3 linked regions of the Notamacropus eugenii genome follow. The protein of the gene in region 1 purifies or fractionates together with the protein of each later gene. This does not show direct contact. Links are inferred from orthologs where the notes say so. Each region holds a gene or a part of one and is shown on either strand. Other genes may lie near its edges.

Region 1 (7,517 bases):
AGATGATGTCTGGCCCTGTCCCAGCTGAAGAAAGTCTGTGGAAACGAACTAGAAGTTCAGAGCAAGCAGGTCTCAAAGGAATATCAATTCTGTTAAATTAGAGATGTCAGACCACTCTGTCCAAGACGTCCATCCCAAGGTAGTAATGGCTAGTGACAGGGAGAATGAAGATCCTACGATGGACAGGCCACCTCTAGGTACACCCACAGGTCATCATCCTAAACAATCCAGGCCAAATCAGGGCTACCTGGCTACACCCCTGCTCAGGGTAGCCTCACTGCTGCCAGTGCTGGCCTGAAGGACAGACTGACTTTCATTCTGGCACCCTCCTGAGAGCTAGTATTGCTGCCACTACTGGCACAGTCCCAGGCAAGCCACGGGAGCGGAGAGCTTCTTGGATTATCCTCCTCTGGGTGGCTGCACTGTTCCTGGTATAAGACAGAGCCCGCTTGCGGCTGGCATCAAGGAAGAGGATTAGAGGGTTATTAGAGAAGCCAAAGTCACACAATCTGCCTAAAAAGTTCAACAAACATTCTGTCCACTGACGGCCACCCCAGCATCCATCAGCAGTGGGAGAAAGGTCTCAGAGCTGCTTGTCTCAGCTGACCATGTACGTTTAAGGGTAAGAGAACTGGTTAAAAACCCCTCCCAACATTGAACCTCACTGACGTGAAGGACAGCACACAAAGCCGGAGTCAGCCTCAGGCCTCAGTACCAGTCAGGCTACAGGGAGCCCTCAGCATGGCTCACAGGCTAGGCTGACACTACTGACATGGAACTGAAAGGGGAAAACGTGAAGAAGCGGCGTGGAGGGGGCAGGGAGGGGAGGTCGGACTGAGCCAGGGGGTGCTCCTCACTGACTCCGGACCCAGGAAAGGTCCCTGAGTCACCACCAGCCCAGACGGGAACCCAGACCTTCCGTTCCTTCGGTGCCTGGGAGTGCCACTGGCCAGGTGACCCACGGGTCTGAGACCAGGCCACCCATGGGTCTGAGACCTAAGGCCAGGCCACGCACGGGTCTGAGACCAGGCCAGGCCACGCACGGGTCTGAGACCTAAGACCAGGCCAGGCCACCCATGGGTCTGAGACCTAAGACCAGGCCACGCACGGGTCTGAGACCTAAGACCAGGCCAGGCCACCCATGGGTCTGAGACCTAAGACCAGGCCACGCACGGGTCTGAGACCAGGCCAGGCCACGCACGGGTCTGAGACCAGGCCAGGCCACGCACGGGTCTGAGACCTAAGACCAGGCCACGCACGGGTCTGAGACCAGGCCAGGCCATGCACGGGTCTGAGACCTAAGACCAGGCCAGGCCACGCACGGGTCTGAGACCAGGCCACGCACGGGTCTGAGACCTAAGACCAGACCAGGCCATGCACGGGTCTGAGACCTAAGACCAGGCCACCCACGGGTCTGAGACCAGGCCACCCATGGGTCTGAGACCAGGCCACGCATGGGTCTGAGACCTAAGGCCAGGCCACCCATGGGTCTGAGACCAGGCCAGGCCATGCACGGGTCTGAGACCTAAGACCAGGCCAGGCCACCCACGGGTCTGAGACCTAAGACCAGGCCAGGCCACGCACGGGTCTGAGACCTAAGACCAGGCCAGGCCACCCACGGGTCTGAGACCTAAGACCAGGCCAGGCCACGCACGGGTCTGAGACCTAAGACCAGGCCAGGCCACCCACGGGTCTGAGACCTAAGACCAGGCCAGGCCACCCACGGATCTGAGACCTAAGACCAGGCCACGCACGGGGCTAAGACCTAAGACCAGGCCAGGCCACGCACGGGGCTGACAGCACACGCACTCCTCGCCCCAAAGCCGCCCCGCCCTCACCTGGGCTCCGGGCACTCTAGGTCACAGGCCTCCTCCCCACAGACCCCGGCGCTCATCCGGGCGCAGGGGACCCTTCCTCAAGCAGCTCTCGGACCCGTGCCCAGGCTGCTCCAAACCTCCAGCGGCTCCGCGAGATCACTCATTCACTCAGCAAACACTGAGGCCCCAGTGGCCAGTCTGGGGGAGACGGCGGGCACCGAGGGTCCACAACTGACCCGGAGGGGGCGGGGAGGCCGGTTTGGGGGTCACACTGGACACCGCCGAGAAGCCAGAGCGGTCCGGGCCAGGAGCCACTCTGCGAGGCAGAGGGACGCTGCGGGGATCCGGGAAGGCTGCCGTGACGTGGACGGAGACCGCACATAAACAACTCGCTGGGGCCAAGCAACGCCAAGGAGGGCATCCCCACACGGGGAGGGGGGAGAGAAGGCCCCGAGAGAACGGCGCCGCCCCGCCCCTCCCCCTCCCCCTCCTCCTTCGGGCGGCCCCTCCCCCTCCCCCCTCTCCCGGCCTCCCCTCCCCCTCCCCCTCCCCCTCCGGGCCGCCCCTCCCCCTCCCCCTCCCCCTCCTCCTCCGGGCCGCCCCTCCCCCCTCTCCCGGCCTCCCCTCCCCCTCCCCCTCCCCCTCCGGGCCTCCCCTCCCCCTCCCCCTCCCCCTCCGGGCCGCCCCTCCCCCTCCCCCTCCTCCTCCGGGCCGCCCCTCCCCCTCCCCCTCCTCCTCCGGGCCGCCCCTCCCCCTCCCCCTCCTCCTCCGGGCCGCCCCTCCCCCTTCCCCTCCGGGCCTCCCCTCCCCCTCCCCCTCCCCCTCCGGCCGCCCCTCCCCCTCCCCCTTCCCCTCCGGGCCGCCCCTCCCCCTCCCCCTCCTCCTCCGGGCCGCCCCTCCCCCTCCCCCTCCTCCTCCGGGCCGCCCCTCCCCCTCCGCCTCCGGGCCGCCCCTCCCCCTCCCCCTCCTCGTTCGGGCCGCCCCTCCCCCGCCCGGCCGCACCTTCTCACAGAGCGTGCGCACTTGGTTCTCGTTCAGCTGCTTGCACTCGTTCAGCTGCTCCACCCACTGGTCCAGCTCCTTCGTGAACACCTTGTCCTCCATGATGGCGGCAGCGGCGGCGGCGGCAGCGGCGGCGGCGGCTGCGGCGGCGGCGGCCAAGGGGGCTCGTGCTGGACCCCGCCGGGCCCGGGCCCTGGCCCCGCCCCCGCCCCGCCCCGGCGCCGGTCCCGCCCGCCGTCGAGCCCCGCCACGCCACGCGAGCCCCGCCCCCGCCCCGCCCTTAGGGGGGGCGCGAGCCGGGACGGCGCGGGCGCGCAGGCGTGCCCGGGCGAGAGACGCGGCGACGGGGCCGCGCACGGAGGCGCGGGGGCGTGCCCGCCGGCCACCAACCCCTCCTGCGCGCGCGCGCCGCCCCGCCCCCTCCGCGGCGCGCACAGCCGCTCCCAGGGCCCACGGGCGGGGCCGAGCTGGGGGCGGGGCCGAGCTGGGGGCGGGGCCGAGCTGGAGGCGGGGCGCCACTGACCGGCCCGCCTGCCTGCCTGCCTGCCTGCCTCCCTACGGCCCGCCCGGGCCGACTCCGCCCTCTCCCGCAGCCCTCCTCACGCTCCCTGCCCGTCGGGGCCCGTCACCGCGGGGCACTTCCGCCGGAAGGAGACGAGGGAGGGGGCCGCACGCGAGCGGCGGGAGGGGGAAGGCAGGCGGAGGGAGCACGAGCCGGTACCGCTGGCCACAGCACCACCACGCGGCCGGGAGGAGGAGGAGGAGGAGCGGGAGGAGGCGGTGACGGCGCGGCGCGGCGCTGACCCCCTGCGTCACTGCGTGACTTGCGCCGCGGCGCCGCCCCTTGACGTCAGTCACTCCAAGGCCCTCTCCCACCCTGCGCGTCCCGCTCCGAGCGCGGGACCCCGCTCCTCGGGTCTGGGCCTGCGCAGGAGGGGCGGGCCGATCGGCGTGGTTCGGGTTCTCCGGGCCCGCCCCCCGCTCTGTCTCTCCCCCAATAGCCGCGGTCACTGCCGCCTGCCGCCAGGGGCGCTCTCCGGAGCTGTCCGAGGTAGCCGCAGATGCTCCGGGAGGTCGGCCCGGGTGCCACGCCCCCCTGCCCCGGACTGCGCTTCTCCCGATGCCCCGGCTTGGGGCCCGGCCTTGGACAGAGAAGCGGAAAGGCGAAGGCTCCGGAGGCAGGGCGCGGACTCCGTGTCCGAGCCCTCCGCTTTGTTCGGTTTGCTGTAGAGATGGGCACGGAAAGCTGGCGTTCGTGTGCCCGTTCTCGCAGCCTGGCGCTTCCGCTAGGTCTCGGGAGCGGAGAGGCGCGTCTGGTCCGTGGGTCCGTGGGAGGAAACACGCGGCGGCACATCCCGCCCGAGAGCGGCTCCTCCGACCCAGAGCGCGTGTAGACGTTTAACACGCCGAGGGTTTCTGCCCTCGCTGCAGGATTGGAGCCGGCGTCACGGTGAAGCGCCCACAAGGCAGCTCTCCGGGGGCGCAGTAGGGGCGAGACCAGGCTCGCGTGGGCACACGGACGCCCTGGGAGCTGTCGGGGAGCTGTTTAAAAAGTAACAGCGCATTGTAACTTTGTATCACGCTGTGAGGTCTGCAGATGATACTAAGCAGCCTCTGTCACCCTGGAGGCAGGCGCTGTCAGCCTCATTTTACAGATGAGGAAACTGAGGCAGGAAGATTAAGTGGGTTTTTTCTAGGCTATATTTAAACCGACTTTTCCTGACTCCAAGATCTAGCTGCCTCTAAGTCTTACCAACTGAGAGAAAAGGCAGCATCTAGAGTCCCTAGACTGACTTTTGCTTCGATAAACGGTCACTACCCAGCTCTCCCGAGGTCTTCTGCGTAAGCAGACTTGGTTACGGAAGTCCAGCCATGGACTACTTCTCCGGGAAGTGGCTTTCATTTCGACTTATCATGTCCCTAGGTCAGAAGGATTTGAGAAGCAGCGGCTAGATAGTCCTAGCCCAAGAACCCTCCAGGAGACTGGAGGAAGCATTGCCCAAAGACCTTCAAGGGGTCCCTGTGACCCAGCCTCCGCAGTCCCCGACCCTGCCAGCCCCTCCCTCCAGTCCCTGCTGACCACAAAGAAGGAAGAGATAGGGGAGCTAGAGCAGATCCAAGGTGCCACCCATGAGCCTTTGCAGTGATGGTTGGTCCTTGGGTTCATCTGAGGTTTTCCAAGTGGTTTGATGTCATTGTCTGCATTTTTCTCCTGGTTCTACGGATTTCCCTATGCATCGGTTCATTTAAGACCAAAGGACTTCCCATGTGTCTGGAACTGTCTTCATAACTTCTTAGGTAAAGAGGCATTCCATTATATTTATACAGCATAACTTGTCTGCTGTTCCCCAACAGATAGATATTCACTTCTTTGCCATCGCAAGAAGAGGTGCTATATACAAACTGTTAGTACCTAGGGGTCCTTTTCCTCTTTCCTTGATGTCTTTCTGGGTTTACAGAGGGCAGCAGGCACAGTTTAGTAGCTTTGGGGCCATAATTCCAAATGGTTTTCCAAAATGACTTGCTCATGTCACAGCTCCAACATGCATCAATGTACCTGTTTTCTCACAGCCCCTCCAGCATTTATTTTCCTTTATTTGTTACTTTGTCAGTCTGGAAGGTAAGAGGTAGAACCTTAGAGTTGTTTTAATTTATATTTCTCCAGTTATTCATGATTTAGAGCCTTCTTTCACATGGCTATAAATAGCTTGGATTTTTTTTTCTGAAAACTGCCTAGGCTTTCTTTCTAGACTGATCACCCATTATTCCCCCATACGAACTCTGCTCAAGCCAAATCGTGTTGCTTGCTGTTTCCCCTACACGCCAACCAATGCCTTCCCTCCATATCTTTGCACAAGACGTTCTATGCACATCAAGAAATCTGACACTTCCCACAATTCTGAGTCAATTTCAAAGCTCATCTCAGGGGCTACCTCCCATAGGAGTCCTTCCTTGTACTTCTGGGAAGAGATGCCAGTGCTCTCACCCCAATGTTACTTTTCATTGTACATATGTGCATATACACACATAGGTGTACATATCTATCTAATCTTACCTGTGTACTGTCTAAGCTTTCCCCTGTAGAATGTAAGTTTCTTTATGGCAGAGACCATTGCATTTTTATCTTCAAATCTCTAGTCTGGGACAACTCCTGACACACTGTTGTTGTTCAGTCGTGTTGGATTCTTCCTCACTCCGAGGACCCTAGTACACCAATGCTGTCCATGAGGATTTCTTGTCAAACTGACACACAGTAGGTGCTTCAAAAAATATTTGAGTTGAAATGAATTAAACGGATTAGAAGGCATGAGACTGGCCACTACTTCTCTTAAGGATCTAAGAGTAACCCCAAGGGGCTATCCTTCTAACAGTGCCACTCACGAGCCCCTGGTGGGGTGCTTCCTTTTAACAATTGGCCAACAGACTTAATTAGCTTTTAGAAAATGTATTTACTCAGAGTTTAGTAAGAAAGGCTGGCAAAATATAGTCCCCACCTCCAAAAACCTGGGGTACCCTCTCCCACAAATACATACAAGGCCATAAGAAGGATGGACTCAAACTTAGACTACAAGGGTAGTCACAATTAATTCATCCTTCTTGTGCTCTGTGGCCCCAAAGTCCTTTCTTAAGTTCACAGCCAGCCTCTTCGGTCTTTCCACATCCATCTGTCCTTCCTTCTTTGGGAAGTGTTGTTTCCTACTGATTTCAGGTCATCTCTTCAATCTCAGCTAGAGATAGTTGATGTTATTGGTCCAATCTTTCTGATGACATGGTCAATTGGAAGAGACAAGAGAGAAACTTTGCCCCCTCCCCCCTTTCCAATAGCAATTCCCTTTCAGTTGGACTTAGCTCCAACTCTCAAGATGGAATTCTTAGTTCCTGAACTTAGAGCCTACCACTGCTAGCTTGGTCCCCCAATAGAAAGACCACTGTTTTTATACATAGGCTGACAGGTATGTGTGATTCTTTTGGCCAATCAAAGCAGGGAGTGAGCTGCCTTCATCCATGACCAAATCTGCATAATGCTCCAAAATGACTTATTCACAACCTATGGTGGAGGTATAGAGGCAGCAGAGTACAGGGGACAGAAAGCTGTCTTCAAAGCTAGGAAGCCCCAAGTTCCAATCTAGCCTCTGATACATATTACCCACGTGACCCTGGAAGCCACTTTGTTTGCACAGAGGATCAAATGAGGTCATGAATGTTCAGCTCTTTGCAAGTAATACATAAATCTTATTATTATTTAACAAATAAAGGTGGTTAAATGTGATGCACTAGGGAGGGAGGGCCCTGGCATTCGCAGGTCTTTATTTAGAAAAGCTTCATACAGATCACACTGGAGCTGCATTTTAAAGAAGAGTTAGTCGTTGAGGGAAAGATGAGGAAGTAAAATCCTAAATATGAGGGACATCCAAACGCAGGTGGTGACTCAGCTGTGGGGTGAAGGAGTGAGGAGTCAAGGCTGATTCGAAGCTATGAGCCTGGGCTGTTGCAGGAAGCAGTAAAGTTCAGAAAATGGGTAGATTTGGGCGGGAAAGAGCCTCTGGCTGCTACTCTTTCCAAACTGAAAGTTACCTTGATTTACTTGGGTCTATAGGCCATCTATCCCTCCAGCAGAGGCCAGGGCTGTCCATGCTGTCTTGGTCTCCCAATGCCTGGCATGTGGGAGGCATTAATAAAGGTCTGGTCTACTGCCTT
Region 2 (7,782 bases), on another chromosome or scaffold:
TTCATGGACTTTCTAGAACTCTGAAAGAAGTTTACAAAATACAAACATTGTCTGCTGACGATAATTTCTTACTACCATATTCTTGAAGTTCAAGTTTTTACATCTCTCTCTCTCTCTCTGAACAGAATCTGGAGCAATTTAAAACCTAGTCCATACTACTTATGCAACCATTGGCAGGACCTGTCCTCCCTGGGTCTCAGTTTCCTACTCTGTAAAATGTGGGACTTACCTAGATGGTCTCTGATGTTCCTTCTTTCTAGATCTATTATCTTCTGATTTGTTCTCCCCCCAAAATTAGTTCCTATTATTTGTAATCATTTCCCCAGTTACCCAGACTCAAAATTCAAGAAGCATTCTTTGATTTTCCCTTCACATACCATAACTTCTCTACTTCTTACCTTTTTTTCCATCACTGCAGCCACTAGTTTAGTCATCAATTATCTCCCACCTGAACTAAAGAAGTTTTTAAATGTTCATTTCTCTTTCTTCCATCCTGCAAACCACTATCAGATGAATTTAAAACACCACTTCTATCACAGGCGGAAATGTGTAGCGAAAACAACACTGAACCTTAAGTCATAACACTTAAGTCTGAGCCCTGACTGCCACTTCACTGTGTAACTTTGGGCAAGTTACTTAAATTCTCTGTGTTTTCTGTTCTCTGTAAAACAGGGATATTTGCACTAGTTATTATACTGGGTGACTGGGAAAAAAGTGCTTTGCAAACCTTAAAGTGTTATACAAATATGAGTCATAATTAGTAGAGAACAATGATTTCCAAGTACTTTAAGACAAACTGTCACTATGTGATATGGCTTTCCCTTCTGCACTTAAGTACTATAAAGCACGTTTACTTTTTAAATTAAAGAAAAAAATTTTGTTTTCAAAATTCTTGACACCATTGAGGCAAGTGGAGACACATGAGGATCAGAATTCAATGGTAGAACACAATCTATTACTTTAGAGAAAATCTGCCACTACTGAAGAAACTACTTCTGGCTCTCATCCCAGTTGTGTTTTCTCAGGCAGGTAACTGATTCTTTGGAGCTTGGTTTCCTTATCAGTAAAATAAAACGGCTGGACAAGGGATAGACAAAACCTTTCAACTCTCAAATTCCATGATTCCCTCTTTTTTTCTGATACTCCTTCAAAATTATTATTTCCAGTGTAGCTGGATGCTGATTGGACTGCATGACTACATGAAAAGATGCTGAGTGTAATGGTTACCAATGATTGACAACAACTTCTTTTGAAGGAGGGTAAAACTATCCATTTCCTTCTTGTCAGGCATTTTTCTGCTGAGCAGACATTTTTATCTGATATCTAATTCCATTACTTATACCACTTATACAACGTCTGTACTTTGTAAACTTCTTCCAAAGTTCTAGAAAGTCCATGAAGATAAGCTTTAAAAAGAGCTTATAGTCTTAGATTTGAAAGCTGGAAAATACAGAAGGGAGAATGTTTCACATAAAACTCTACGACAATGAAATATATATGCTCAGCTGCAGTTTGTAACTTAATTTTGCAGCTTCAGAAATACTGTAGAAACAGTGCTTTCTTATAAAATCATACTTTTTCTTGAACAGTTAAAATGTCTTTCAACTCTCCAATGCCACGATTTCCTCTTTTTTTCTGATAGTAGTTCTGATAAAGTTCAAAAACAGTTTACATAACTCGAAAATGACAAATTATTTATTTCTACACCTATTACAAAACAGCAGACCACCCTATGATATTTACAAAATAATAAAACACTAGAGAAAAATGGTGACTGTATATTCAACCTTCCATCAAGACAAGGAAAGCCTCTCCTTCCTCTGGCCAAACTGTTCATACCCAGCATGTTATTCTCATGAAAATAATGAACACCTCATCTGAGAAATGGAGGATATATTTCATATATATATATATTAAAACTTCGGATTAAGAAGTTTAGAAATTTAGAATCCTGTTGGAAAAGCCAATTTCCATTCCATCTTTCCCTTTCCCGCCAGCCACCTTCCAACCAATGGCAATTCAAAGTCATGAACATCAAGCCCAAGGGAGGACGGGGCCCTCTGCACGTGGTCATTAGGAAAGGTTAACAAGACAACTTACTACTCGGGTCCCCGTAGATCTACGAGTCCCTCGGCCGTGCGGCCCGCTTCGGGGGCCAGCGGAGGCGCCCAGGGGCAGCGCGCTGGACACCCCAGGGCTCGGGGTCCCCAAGGGCGCCATCAGGTTATCTAGCACGTTCCGCTTGGAGCTGGCGACCTTGGCGGCCAGGAAAGGCTGCGCGTCCCCGGCCAGGCCGCCGCCGAGATCTATCCTCTCGGCGCTCCGGATCCTTTTCAGGCAGTCCTTGAGCATCACCTGCGTGTTGGTCTCACTCAGCCAGCACAGGAACAACTCGTCCACTTTCATCTTTAGGACTGGCTGCAGGACTTTACCAGCGGGCATTCTGGGGTGTCTGTTACCGGCTCTTGGGGTGGTCTGTCCTTCCTGCCCCCGGGGCGCTCTTCCTCCTCCTTCCCCACCCCACCCCCGCCCCCCGCTCCCACTTTTCCTGGTGCCCAGGACGGAGGCCGGGCTGTCTAAAGTGAGGGCTGTTGCAGGCCGCGGCCCCCAGCCCTTCCTCGACTGCTTAAAGACACCGCCAGGACTCCGGCATTGGAGGGGGGGGTGATTTCGAGTGGGGGGGGGGAACACGAGGTCAAACGCCCGGCGCTGGAGGAGGGCGGGGCGGAACCGCGGCCCGAGCGGACGAGGGCGCAGACGAGGGCACGGGCGGCCCCGGGGCCTCCAGAGGAGGCAGCGGCGTCCGAGCACCTCGGGGGCAGCTGCGGGGCCACGGAGCCGGGCGCGGGGCTGAGCGCATTGGCTGGTTGGCTTCCTCAGGAGCCCGTCGAGGGAGGAGGAGGAGGAGGCTCCGAAGAGAGCGGAAGCGAACAGGAAGCCTGCCCAGGGCAGCTTCAAAACGGGCGCCCCCAGCCCCGCTCCGGAACGCTGTGGCCGCCGCAGGCCGTCTCACGCTGCCGCCGTCGGCACGCCGCGGCCCGTGACGTCATCACGCAGCGTCCCTTTCCCTATAAAAGGCCGAGGCCGGCGGGCAGCGGTTACGTTATCCCGTGGAGCGGCCTTAGGGACGGTCTGCATGTTTGTAGCTTTGGAGACTCCTCTCAGCCAGGGAGCGTGACCTGTTTGAGTTCTGGAACCGCCGAAGGATTTCTCTCCTGGTGGAGCGGGGCGGGAGGGACGGTCTGGGCATGCGCACACTGGGAAGGGCTGCGCTAGAGACTCCTTCCCAGGAAATTCAATAATTAAATTTATCCAAGAGGCGAATGGCTTCCTGAACTCCGTTTACTGAGTGAGAGCCGCTGCGGAATGGATTCTTATTTTTTAAATGAGCCTATTCATCTCGAGAAGGTCACAGTATTTTTCCTATATTACCTTCGCATGCCCAGCCTTTACTTGGCATGGTTGTGGTTCCCTAAGGCTCATGTCTCTGATCATTCCCCCAGTGTCTGGTCTAGCACCCCATTCTTCTCCATCCGTAGCCCCAAAGGCACCTGGACCTCTAGATTACCTAATCAGCACCCCTGGCATTCTTTCCCCATGCCCTTTCCTATATAAACTCTGGATTCACCCCCTTAAGATGCAAGTTCCTCAAAAAAGAACTTCACCAGCTCCTGTTGACCTTCCAATAAACTTGAATTTGTTCCAGCCAACCCTCTCTTAACCCTCTCAGGGCCTCCTCCACCCAAGCCTCTCCAGTGATGGACAATGGACACAGAGGTAGAGACGTGGAGGTTTTTTTGGACATGGGGGATTTGGGAATTTGCTTTGATTGTTAGATGCTTGTCAAAGCAGTATTGTTTTTCTTGCTTTCCCAATTTGGGAAGAAGAGGATGGGAGAATGTGAGAGAGAAAAAAAGGCAGATCGTTTGGAAAAAATCAAATTTTATTTCAAAAAATGTTTCTTGAAGTAAAGAGACCTTCACTATCATCTAATCCAATTCTCTCATCTTACACCTGAGAAAATTGGGCCTCAGACATAGGAAATGATCTGTTTGTGGTCACACAGGTATTAAAAGAGGCCAAAGGAAAAATTCAGTCCAGACCCTCCAACCCTGAAGCTACCACATTGGTTCAGATAATCTGTAGGGTCCCTTCTACTCGAATCTTCAGTGTCTTTTTTATCAACTGCCTCCTTCCTGGCTGCCTAGAAGCAAGCCTGTGTCTTCCCCTTCCTATAGAAAAAAATCCTCACTTGATCCAGCCATCTCTCCTAGCTACCTACCATTCTGTATTCCTCTTTCCCTTCTTAGATAAACTTATTGAGAAAGCTATCTTCACTGGGTTGGAGCACTTCTTCTTCTCTCACTTTATTCAAAGCACTCTGTAGTCTGGCTTGCATTCTCATCATTCAGCTGAAACAGCTTTTCTGAGTTACCGATGGTTTCTTAATTACCAAGTCTGATAACCATTTTTCAGTCTTAATCCTTCAATCTTGGCCTGTCTGTAGCATTTAACCTTATTGGTCATTTTCTCATGAATCCTTTCGACTCTTTGCCCTTTCCTGGTTCTGTGACCATTCTTTCCTAATCTACTGTGTTTTCTTCTATCTCACACTCAGTAATCATAGGTGTCTTCCAAGGCTGTGCCCTGGGCCCTCTTCTCCCTCTACAATCACACTTCACAGTCTCGTTAACTCCCTGGGTTAGGTTATCATCTGTATGCAGATGTTTCACATATCTCCATTTACACCCCAGTCTGTCTCCTGGGCTCCAGTTCCACATTACGAGCTGCCTTTTGGATACCTCATAGTCATTTCAAACTTAGTTTGTCCAAAAACAGAACTCATCTTTCCCTTCAAACCTTCCCCTTTTCCAAACTTAACTGTTAGTATATTGTAATAGCCTTCTGGCTGCTCTCCTTGCCTCAGGTTTCTCTTTATTCCAAACCACTCTCCAGTCTGTTACCAAGGTGATTTTCCTAAAACTTAGATCTTACTATATCATGTCCCCTGCTCAATAAACTCTGTTGGCTGCCTGTTGCCTACAGGATGAAATAAAAAAATGTTCTGGTTGTATTTAAAGCCCTCCATGACCTAAGCTATTTCTATCTATCCAGTCTTCGTAAATCTTATTCTAGTGCTTGCCGCTGCTTGAGCGCTGGTTCTCCCCCAAACTGGCTAAGCACTCCCTCCTTTCTTCTCCTTCCTGGATTCCCTGGCCTTCTTCAAGACTCAGCTCACATCCCATCCACTGTTAGTGGCCTTCTTACCCCTTCCATCCTCTCCCCAAGTTCTTCCCTCTGAGATTACTTTGCATTTACTACATATGTATATGTGTATGTGAGTACACACACACACACACACACACACACACACACACACACACACACACACCTTGCTTGCACACAATTATTGGCATGTTGTCTCCCCAATTAGATTATGAGCCTCTTGAGGATAGGATTCATATTTTTGCCTTTTTTAAAAAAAATCAGTGCTTAGCACAGTACCTGACACATAGAAAACCCTTGATAAATTGTAGACTGACTCTTGATCTCACGTCCAGAACTTGTCACAAATCCATGCCCTTCTTTGCTTTTCCCTATGTTTTGAATTCCTTGCTAAAATTCACCACATATCTGCTGAAGTCCTGTTCTGCACTAAAGCTTTTCCTGATGGTTGCTTGTTATGAATGATCCTTGTCCTCATCTGTTTTCATACCACTTCATATTCCTTATTGCTTAAGGGCAAGTAATGGATGACAAATCCAAAGATGGTAGTCTTGTGAGAATTGGTGTCTAGAATACTGATGCTTATTATGAACAGAAACAGCAAAAGCTTTTTACTAATATAGAGGCTGAAGCAAAATTTGTACAAGGCATCTGGCAAATTCTGGGACAAAATGGAGGGATGTGGGCTAGATGTTAGTATAATTAGGTGGATTCAGGTATTTCAGCTGAGTCCTAAAGAAAACCCAGGGATTCTAAGAGGAAGAGATAAGCAGAGAGAACATTTCAGACATGGGAAAAGACATGTGATGTCAGACATGGAGACAAGTGATGGAGCAAGTAGACCAGTACATTTGGACTATAGAATGCATGGAAAGGAGTGATATGTAAGATAATGGGAAGATAGGAAGGGCCTGGAATATCTAGGGATATAAATGCCAACTAGGAATTTATATTTGATCCTAGAGGTAAGAGGGTGCCATCGGAGTTTTTTGAAAGGGTGATCAAACTTGTAAGAAAACCATTTTGGCATCCATGGAGAGAAAGGAAGCTGAAAGTAGAACCAATGCTATTGCCATGGTCCAGGCAAGAGGGGCATTCTAGTATGGTGGCTATATTAGTAGGGGGAAAGAAATTAAAAGATTTGATAATACACTGAATACTTGATGAGGGAGAAGGAGTGGAAGATGATACTGAGGTTGTGAACCTGATTGACAGGGAGAATGGTGCCCTTTATAATAATAGAGAAGATTGAAAGAGGGGTAAGGTTGAGGGAAAGATAAGGAATTCTGTTTTAGACATGCTGGGTTTGAGAACAAATGCTCAGTAGGCAGTTGGATTTAGACTAGAGCTGAACAGGGAGAGATGGAGGCAAGATATATAGATCTGAGAATAATCTGTAAGAGATAATTGAATTGATGGGAGCCGATAAGATCACAAAGTGAAAGCATATCTTAATACCTGAATTTCTTATATCACTTTATTCAGTTTTATTTCCAAATAATTTTGTTTGCTCTTTCAGGTCATCTAGCAATCAATCATCAGAACAGCAGAGCTGGAAGGAACCTTACAAAGAGATCATCTAATCTAAACCCTTTATTTTATAGATGAAATTGAGAGGGAGCAATATGCTTAAATGAAACATTTTGTAAAGCAACAAAAGCCAGTTCAGGGTATCAGTGAGTTATTACATTAACTTGAGTGCAACTTAGAAGTCTTCTAACCCCCCTCTCTTTTTACAGTAGGGAAGTAAAATTAATCCCAGATAGGTGGAGTGACTTACCCAAAGTCACACTAGGAGAGTCACAATTCAAATTCCAAATCCAGTCTTCTTCCCACTGTTCACTCCAAATGGAATTTAACGCTAATGGCTTTCAAATTAATGGTTATAACTGTAAATGTGTTAGGTTATGGAATTGTATACAGAGCTGGTTTAGTAACTCAGTACCTGCTTAGCCTACTGATTTAGTAATTTAAGAGAGAGAGATAATCAGGGTCAAATATTTTTAAATATGGGGTAGATAGGAAACCAGTTTTAGTTTTTCTTGATTATATATGTCATCAAATTTATTTTTGTGAAAAACTTTTCAAGAGACTAGCCCTAGTGAAATCAAAACTATGAAGATTACCATTAATTGAAAGGAATCCTTTTAAGAATCTTTCATAGAATTCATAAAGTTATTTTATTATGAAGGTTAGTGGAGGAATAGAAGGTAAGCTCCTAGAAAGTAGGAATATTTCCATGTTTCTCTTTGTATCCCTAAGCCTAGAACACTGCCTTGAACGGAATAGGTGCTTAATAAATTTTAATTCAATCCTTGAAAAATTATTGTGTTCAGTACTTTTATTCTCTTTCTGTCTTATACCTGTGCATTGACATTTCCTGCCTGCAGTTACATCCTGTCCTTGTTAAACCTGGGCGTCCTTGCATATTTGTTACTTTGTACATGCTAGCAACTGTAATCTGACCCTTCATTTTATGTTGCAGGTAACATTATGGCCTCATAATCAACTGAATAATACACTAATACCAGAGTAATGTACATCATCTTTGAGTCT
Region 3 (7,369 bases), on another chromosome or scaffold:
CGGTAATGGAAAGAAAATGGAAATTTAAAATCTGCCATGAGTTAAGTACCTACACACATACACACACATATGTAAGTATGTATACACACACATATAATACACACATACATATATAATTAAGAAGATGTTTTATATCTAAAAAATTAGCTTCAATGGAACCTATTAAAGTTTCTTACATGGCTTTCAAAAAAAACAAGTATAATTCCTAAGTGGAATTTCATTAATTCTATGGGAATGGAAATAAATGTCAAAGTGATCAGACTAAGTACGTTATGGAGTCAGCTCTCAGAACCAGCAGACTAAATTAGACTGTTTCTTTTATAAGGAGCCTAATTCAATGTGCCTATTAGCTGCTCTTTTAGATAGTATGATTTAGGTTCCCAAGTCCAATCAGTAGGTCATCTTCACTCAGTCCAGAGACCCAATGGACAAAACAAAGTAGTGATTGTGGAAATCCACAAGTTAAAATGACTCAAAGCAACTGTCCAGACTGTCAGTTGATGACATCATCAGTAAATAAGGAACATGGCTTAAAAAATAGGCTGTTGCCAAATACAAGTACAATTTGGAATTTACTCTGTCACGAATCAGCAAAAGTAATATGCACAAGGGGACAAAAAAGTGAGAACTAACACTAAAATAGAACACTGATAGGAGAACATAACAAAAGGCTAAAAATTATTTTAAAAAACAGCAAGAGACTTTTTCATGGAGGTGGGGAGGCCTCAGCCTAAATAGGAAAGGATAAGAAATCAATTAACCAACATGATAAGAAAGAAGGGTTTAGCACAGGTACACTCCCAATCAGCTGAAGGCGGGGGAAGGGGAGTTGAGTATGTAACTGAAGAGTGTGTAGAGATTGAGAGGTGGGTGGTAGGAGGAGGAGTGAGAGGGTGAAGAATTAACAGTTGATAAAGCCTCCTGGCAGATTAGAAGGAAACTGGTCCAGCAGTAGAAAAGAAGAACCAGCAGCTAAAAGGAATAAGTAGAACATGTGTCAGAGAAACATGCCTCCCTGACTGACAGAAACAATATCAGGTCTGTTAGGAGGAAGAGGGAGAAGAGGCCTTTGGGATTACACAACTACGTTGTTGAGCTTTGCTTTTAAACATCCCCATTCCTCATTTTTCCAAATCTGAATTTTCAAATTTCCATTTCTCCACATATCTCCTAAATAAATAAGAGGAAGGGATGACAGAAGCCAAAAGTTCCTTCATATGGGGGAAAATGCCAAGTATTCTGGGTTCTACCACTCTTGATTTTTCTAACTGCTAAAACCAAAAATGTGACTAGTCCAAACACAATAGTTAATTATAATTACCTCTTGTTCTACAGCATCTTGTCCTTCTTTTGTACTTTTTCCACTTTTTCCCGATTTTGCTGGTTCCTGAGAAAACATCAAGCAGATTAAGTTTTATATTTTTGAGTTTGCAAAACCTTCAAACGTTTTAAAACTCTTAAGAACCTATGCAATTACATCTCATTTTAATATTGTTAGAAAGTTCTAAAATATATTGCTTTTTAGAGATGTAACAGACAAGACATTTATTTACTTTTTAGTTTTTGTTACCAAGGCTACAAAACAAACAGATATATGCAATTATTTATGGTGTTGTATGTGTTTAAAAAAAAAAGCTCCCTTCCTTTTCCCTTTTCCTAAACTCCTATGATGGTGGTTTCTAAGGTGACACTAAAATGCTATACAGCGCCACCTGAAACCAAAACAAAAAAAGCCAACGCAGCAGAAATACATATTATCACACATCCACATCATCACAATGCAGGATAATAATACTATTTTATGGCACTAGAAAGTCTCTTTGGGAAGGGACACAGAATTCCTCCCGATCAGGAGGAATCCCCTAGACAACTACGGTGAGCAGAGAAGTTTGGTGTCCAGGGGTGATTTCCCAAAGCCTCTCCCCAGAGTTCGCAAGACACCCCCAGTCCCAGGCCCCCGACGGCTGCGGCTGTTGCTTCACCCTCTTCTCCAAAGCATCGCTGCAACCGGTATCGCCCCCCACCACCCCCGTCGCTGCTGCTGCCGCGGGAAAGAGGTTCTGGGGCGGGGGAGGCACCGACTGTGGACGCCAGATGCCGTTTCCCAGGGCATCCCGCCCGCCTTGCCTCCCAGGACAATCTCGGGCTGCTGTCACGGATCCCCAGGGGCCTGGAGGGGGGCGGAGGGGCGAGGGGTGGGCGCCACCAGCCGCCCGGGCGTGGGCGGGTGGGGAAAGGTGCCCCTTCTCCTACTTGCTGGAGGTTTACCAACTCCTGGGGGTGAGGGGGGGGGGGGGGGGGTGTGGAGCAGAGGGTGGACCTAGGGTTAGGCCGCCGGCAGGGAGGGCTCCCGCTGCCCCGTCCAAGGCCTGGGCACCCCGGGCGCTTCCGCGCCTGCTTTGCTTCCTGGGTGACTAACTCCGAAGCATCAGTTGTCACTGCTCGGGGCTGGGGTCCCGGCCAGCGGGGGCGGCGCAGGCGGGCCCCCAGCCAGGAGCAGAAGTTGTCGGCGAGTTCTCGTCTCAGGGGGGCGGCGCCCGGGCCCCCACACTAGGCCCCGTCCCCAAAGGGGCAGTTTCGTTTTCTCCCCTCCCGCCTCCAGGCCCGGCCCCCAGTCCCCGTCCCCTCGGCTGGCTCGGCGGGCGGGCCGGGGCCCCGGACTCACTTTCTCCTTCTTGTTTTTATTCGGCATGGCTGGTGCGGGCCGCCCGCCCCTGCCGCCTCCTCCTGCGCCGCCGCCGCCGCCGCCGCCGCCGCCGCCGCCGCCTCCTCCTCCTCCTCCTCCTCCTCCTCCTCCTCCTCCTCCACCGCCACCGCCGCCTCCAGCAGCAGCACCGGCAGGAGCAGCAGCAGCAGCGCCCCTGACGCTGCCTCCCTCTGCCCTCCCGCCGCCTTCTCAGCCGCCACCCCCGCCGCCGCCTTGCCGGGGACTGAGTCCCTCCCTCGCCCTCGCTTCCCCTTTTCCAGGCTCCCAGAGGCTGCAGCAGCCGCGGCGGCGGCGGCGGCGTCTCTTCGCCCCTCCCCCCCAGCCCTGACCGCCCCCCTCCCCCTTCCTCTCCCCCTCTCGTAACCCCGCCCCCATTCTCTTTCCCCGCCCCGTTCCGCTTTGCCCGGGTTCCGGACCCCGCCCCACTTAGGCCCCTGCACCGTCCCACTGCCAGGCACGGCGCTTTGTCATTGGTTGAGCTTCCGTCTCCTCCCCCGGTCACGTGCCCGCTAACGTTCGTCCCTCGTCTGGTCCTCCGGGGCTCGGCTTTCCTTCACTCTCGCGCTTTCGAGGGTCGGTCGCCGACTTGCCTTCGCGAGCTTGCTGCTTTGCTTTCAGGCCGGGGACGCCGGAGTCCCCGGGTGCTGCTTCTTTGGGGAGTGCGAGGAAGGAGGAACAAGGCGTGAGGGGCCGGGGCGAGGGACACCCGGAGTCGGGCCGCTGGCCGACCCAAGGAGCTGGGTGGCCCGAGGCCGGCTGCCGGCTGCCATGGGCCGGGCCGGGGTGTGCAGAGGGAGGGGAGCAGCCCGCGGTAACTGGGAACGTTAGCCGCCGTTAAGGGCGGCGGAGCCCGGGAGAGGCTAAGGGGGGCGGCTGGAAGCTACGTGTGAAGACGCAGACCGTCCAACACAGGGGCGCGGAGCCGCCCTCGCTAACGAGGGAGAAGCGGGGACACCCTTGTCCCCACCCCGCCCTCGCCCTGCCGGGAAACGGGGTGTTTTCTTGTCACTTGCGACTCCCTCGCAGTCTAAGTTCCGAGGGTGAAAACCCAGTAAGTCTCGGAGGTGTCAGAAGATGTTATCTGCAAACACCCCCCTCCCTCCTTTCCGGGGCTAAGGTAACAGGAGAAGAGCCCGAAGTGTTGGTTTCCCCCTGGCTGTACCGCCCCCCACCCCATGCTTCCTGACGCAGGCCTCCGTCTCGCTTATCTTGCTTGGGTGGAGCTGATGCTCTTGAGGCTTTGAACCCGAAGCCTCTTCCTGCCAAGTTGGAAGCCCGTGGGTCAGAGTCCGCAGCACCTGCAGAGGGGATGACAGGCATCTCAGGGGGATCTGTCTGCCCCTGTTTGTAGCCGGGTGATCGGGGAGTGGGGCTGGGGGGTGGGGTAGTGGAACTAAGTGGTTCAGACAACCAGTTGGCTAGATGGAGCAGCTGATGACTTTAAAGAATGTTGGGGGGGAGGGAGTTCCCCCTTGGCTAATACATCATGTGAGAAAAACTACTGCATGATGATCGGGAGTCATCTGATTTTTCCACCCCCTTATCTATAAGAGAAAAAAGGTGTGAATTTTCCAAAGAAAACATGGAAGAATTAAAAACATTTAAGCAGATGGAAAGTTGGGGGCCCATGTTCAATTTGGCCACTGTCCAGAAGTAGTTGACTGCTCAAAACTACGGGTCATCCAAATGTTTAGAAGCTGAAAACATGCATTAGGTAATAAAACCATCCAAATCATCCTTTGCTGGAGTTTGTGTAAAAACAAGGAATCTCACCAAATATCTGTGTAATAATTCAGAAACCAGTAGTCCAATTTTAGGCGGTGCTTAGACGTGTTGAGTTGTATCATCCTACGTTTCCAATGAGAGTTGCAAAATAGCATGTGCTGCTCTGTGATGGGAAGTTTAAAAGCCAGAAAACTCGAAATTTAAAGGAAATATTGTTAGGAGTTCAAAAAATAAGTTCTTGCCTGCAGGGGCCTGAATGTACAAAAACATTTAGATGAACATCTAGATTACAGGTAAATAGGCTGCTTAGTCATAAAATTTGCATAAAAACCTGATGCCATTCTCCTTTAGCCTTTATAATGGTTCCATAAATGTTGAAAACAAAAGAAAAATACTCATTTTTGTTATTGTTATTTTAGTTATTGTTATTATATTGTTATATAGTGATAATAAAATGATTATTATTTTAGTTACTGTTAATTTCTTAAAACTTCATAACTAACATAAAAATGCCTAATAACAGTGAATTAAATGTTAAGCAACTTCCTTGTGCCAAGCACTGTGCTAGACCCTGGGAATAAAAGTACAAAGAATGAAGCATGTACTTATAAGGAATTTTCCTTTTAATGAGGAGAGGGGAATAGTACATGTAAAAATTTACAGCATAAATATATACAGTTAAATACAGGATAGTTTGGAAGGGAAGGCAGAAGCAGTTGGCATAAAGAAAGGCTTCATAAAGAAGATAGTGTCTGAGCTGTGTTTAAAAGTTATGAACCTGGAAGAATGGTGGTGTCAACAGAAACGGAGATTTGGAAGGAAGGAGAGGGAATGAGTTCAGATTCGGACATGTTAAGTTTTAAGATGTCTTGATATGGCCATTTTGAAATATCCAATAGTGTTAGGAGACTGAAGTTTGAGAGAGGCTGGGGCCTGATATATAGATATGTAAGTCATCTGCATAGTGGTGATAGTTAAGCCAATGTGAACTGATAGCCAATAAAAGTAATAAGAGACAGGTCCAGCGTGAAAGGGAGTGAATTCACAATGGAATAGATGAGAGCCTAGGATACACTCTTGAGCACCTATAGTTAGGGGATGTGAAATGAATAATTAAGAGGGAATCGTTGAAGACAAAAATCAGGAGACATGTCATGAAAACAGGAGGATCAAGTTGTCTATAGTGTCATGCAATGGATAGTTTAAGAAGGACAAGAACTGGGAAGCATCTGATTTGTCAAGAGATCATTTTGGTAACTTTGGAGAAAGCAGTTTCAGTTGAGTATTAAGGTAAGAAACTAAATTGCAAAGGATTGAAGAATGAGAGAGGGGAAGTGAAGACGGTTAATATAGACCATTTTTTCCAGGAGTTTGACTTAGAAGAGATAAAAAGACAAAGACTTAAAGGTATGGTGGGACCTAACAGGTTTTTTTAAGGAAGGGAAGAGGGCATGTTTTAAGATTCTAGGGGAGGAGGAGATTTATAGAGAGAGATTGATGATTTGAGAGGTGGGGATAAATAAGGATGCATTTTGTTGGAGAAAACAAGAATAGGATCAAAAGCACATATGGAGAGCTTGTCCTTGACAAGGACAAGGGCCATCTCTTTTGTTAGAGACTAGGGGAAAGGAAGACAGTGTTGTGGTTATGTTTTGAGATGAAATGATAAGCAAGCTCACATCATATGGCTTCAGTTTTTTTTAGTAAAGAGGCAAAGTCATCACCTAAGAAGGAGGGATGTTTTGGGCGGGGAGGGGTTGAGGGAAGAGAAGGTTTGGAATAGTTTCTGTGGGAAGTGAAATAAAAGAATCAGGGAGGAATAAAAGGACTTCCTTGCTATAGTGAGGGGTCTAGTTGAGGCTGGATAACACTGACTTTGTAATATACTCAGTCCTTCCTACAGTTTTGTTCAGTGGCATGTGAGTAGGAGTGAAGGAAATGGATAGTGGACATAATCTCAGACTGAGGTTTAGCAAGAGAAGATTGTGAATGAGGCAAGGGACTCAAAACCAGAGTTGAAATGGCTAACTATAGATTTGAGGTTGGAGAGGGAAGAAAGTGAAGTCAGAATAGGGGTACCTGAGAAGGTATTGAGAAGTGGAAGGATTGAATGTCTTCAGGGTAGAGAAAAGATTTAGGAGAAGTGAGGCATAGAGAGATATGTAATACTAGGTTATGGTTAGGGGAATGCCAGAATTTCTAATTAGGGAAGTGTAACACTTATGGTTCAGTGGTGAGCTATATAGTGTGTGATGTCACTATCCCTTTGTGTGGCTGAGGTAGAGTGAAGGAGTAGGTCTTGTGATTTAAGAATACTGAAGAATTGGAAATTTAGGAAGTTAGAGAGAGCACCTATGAAGATACAAGTAAAAGGGCAGGAGTTGGAAGAAGAAGATGCTGAACTTCTTGGGAAAAGCATGAGAATAATTTAGGGATTAGTGTATTACAGTTATAATTTTAATTGGGTGGAAAATTTAAGTGGGCTTCAAAGAAGGAAAAGTTGATAGGTAAACAGCCTGAAAGTAACAGTGGAGATCAAGGGGTATTTTGACTTCCCTTCCAGGACCAGTATTGAGTGAAGAGGAAGAGGAAGAAGGGTATGAGAGAAGGAACAGCCAATGATGAAGAGGATAGACAGTGTCATCAGAGGAGACTATCAGTGATGGCTAATAAAAGTAATATGAGACCCGCCCAGCATGAAAGAGAGTGAGTTCACAATGGAATAGGAATTCCAGAAGACAATAAGAGGAAGCAGGGTTGGAGTAGGTGATTCAGTAGGGTTAGGATTGAGAGAAAGGGAGGAGGGAGCTGGGGACAGTTTTGTAAATGACTGATTAATATAGGGATAGAAGATAAGAGAAGTCATAGGGTAATAGTGACAAGTGAATAGTGAAGCTCATAGTCTCTAGAGGATGCTGCAGAGAGAGCTAGATTGGC

Evidence for each region. Proteins that work in one complex are often made in the same cells at the same time.
Region 2: the proteins of PPP2CB (region 1) and PPP2R3B purify together in Homo sapiens (affinity purification with mass spectrometry; 3 studies listed by BioGRID and IntAct, counting the BioPlex papers as one, with this or other methods). This does not show direct contact. The link is inferred for Notamacropus eugenii from reciprocal best matches to the Homo sapiens genes PPP2CB and PPP2R3B.
Region 3: the proteins of PPP2CB (region 1) and PPP2R5C purify together in Homo sapiens (affinity purification with mass spectrometry; 3 studies listed by BioGRID and IntAct, counting the BioPlex papers as one, with this or other methods). This does not show direct contact. The link is inferred for Notamacropus eugenii from reciprocal best matches to the Homo sapiens genes PPP2CB and PPP2R5C.

The regions. Positions count from the first base shown.
Region 1 is NC_092878.1:167,231,351-167,238,867, reverse strand, and holds the start of PPP2CB (serine/threonine-protein phosphatase 2A catalytic subunit beta isoform), read right to left. Parts: upstream 3,007-7,517; 5' UTR 2,922-3,006; coding exon 2,820-2,921; intron 1-2,819.
Region 2 is NC_092876.1:398,822,241-398,830,022, reverse strand, and holds the start of PPP2R3B (serine/threonine-protein phosphatase 2A regulatory subunit B'' subunit beta), read right to left. Parts: upstream 3,010-7,782; 5' UTR 2,443-3,009; coding exon 2,101-2,442; intron 1-2,100. UniProt on the Homo sapiens protein: The B regulatory subunit might modulate substrate selectivity and catalytic activity, and might also direct the localization of the catalytic enzyme to a particular subcellular compartment.
Region 3 is NC_092872.1:352,312,288-352,319,656, forward strand, and holds the start of PPP2R5C (serine/threonine-protein phosphatase 2A 56 kDa regulatory subunit gamma isoform), read right to left. Parts: upstream 3,010-7,369; 5' UTR 2,693-3,009; coding exon 2,666-2,692; intron 1,388-2,665; coding exon 1,322-1,387; intron 1-1,321.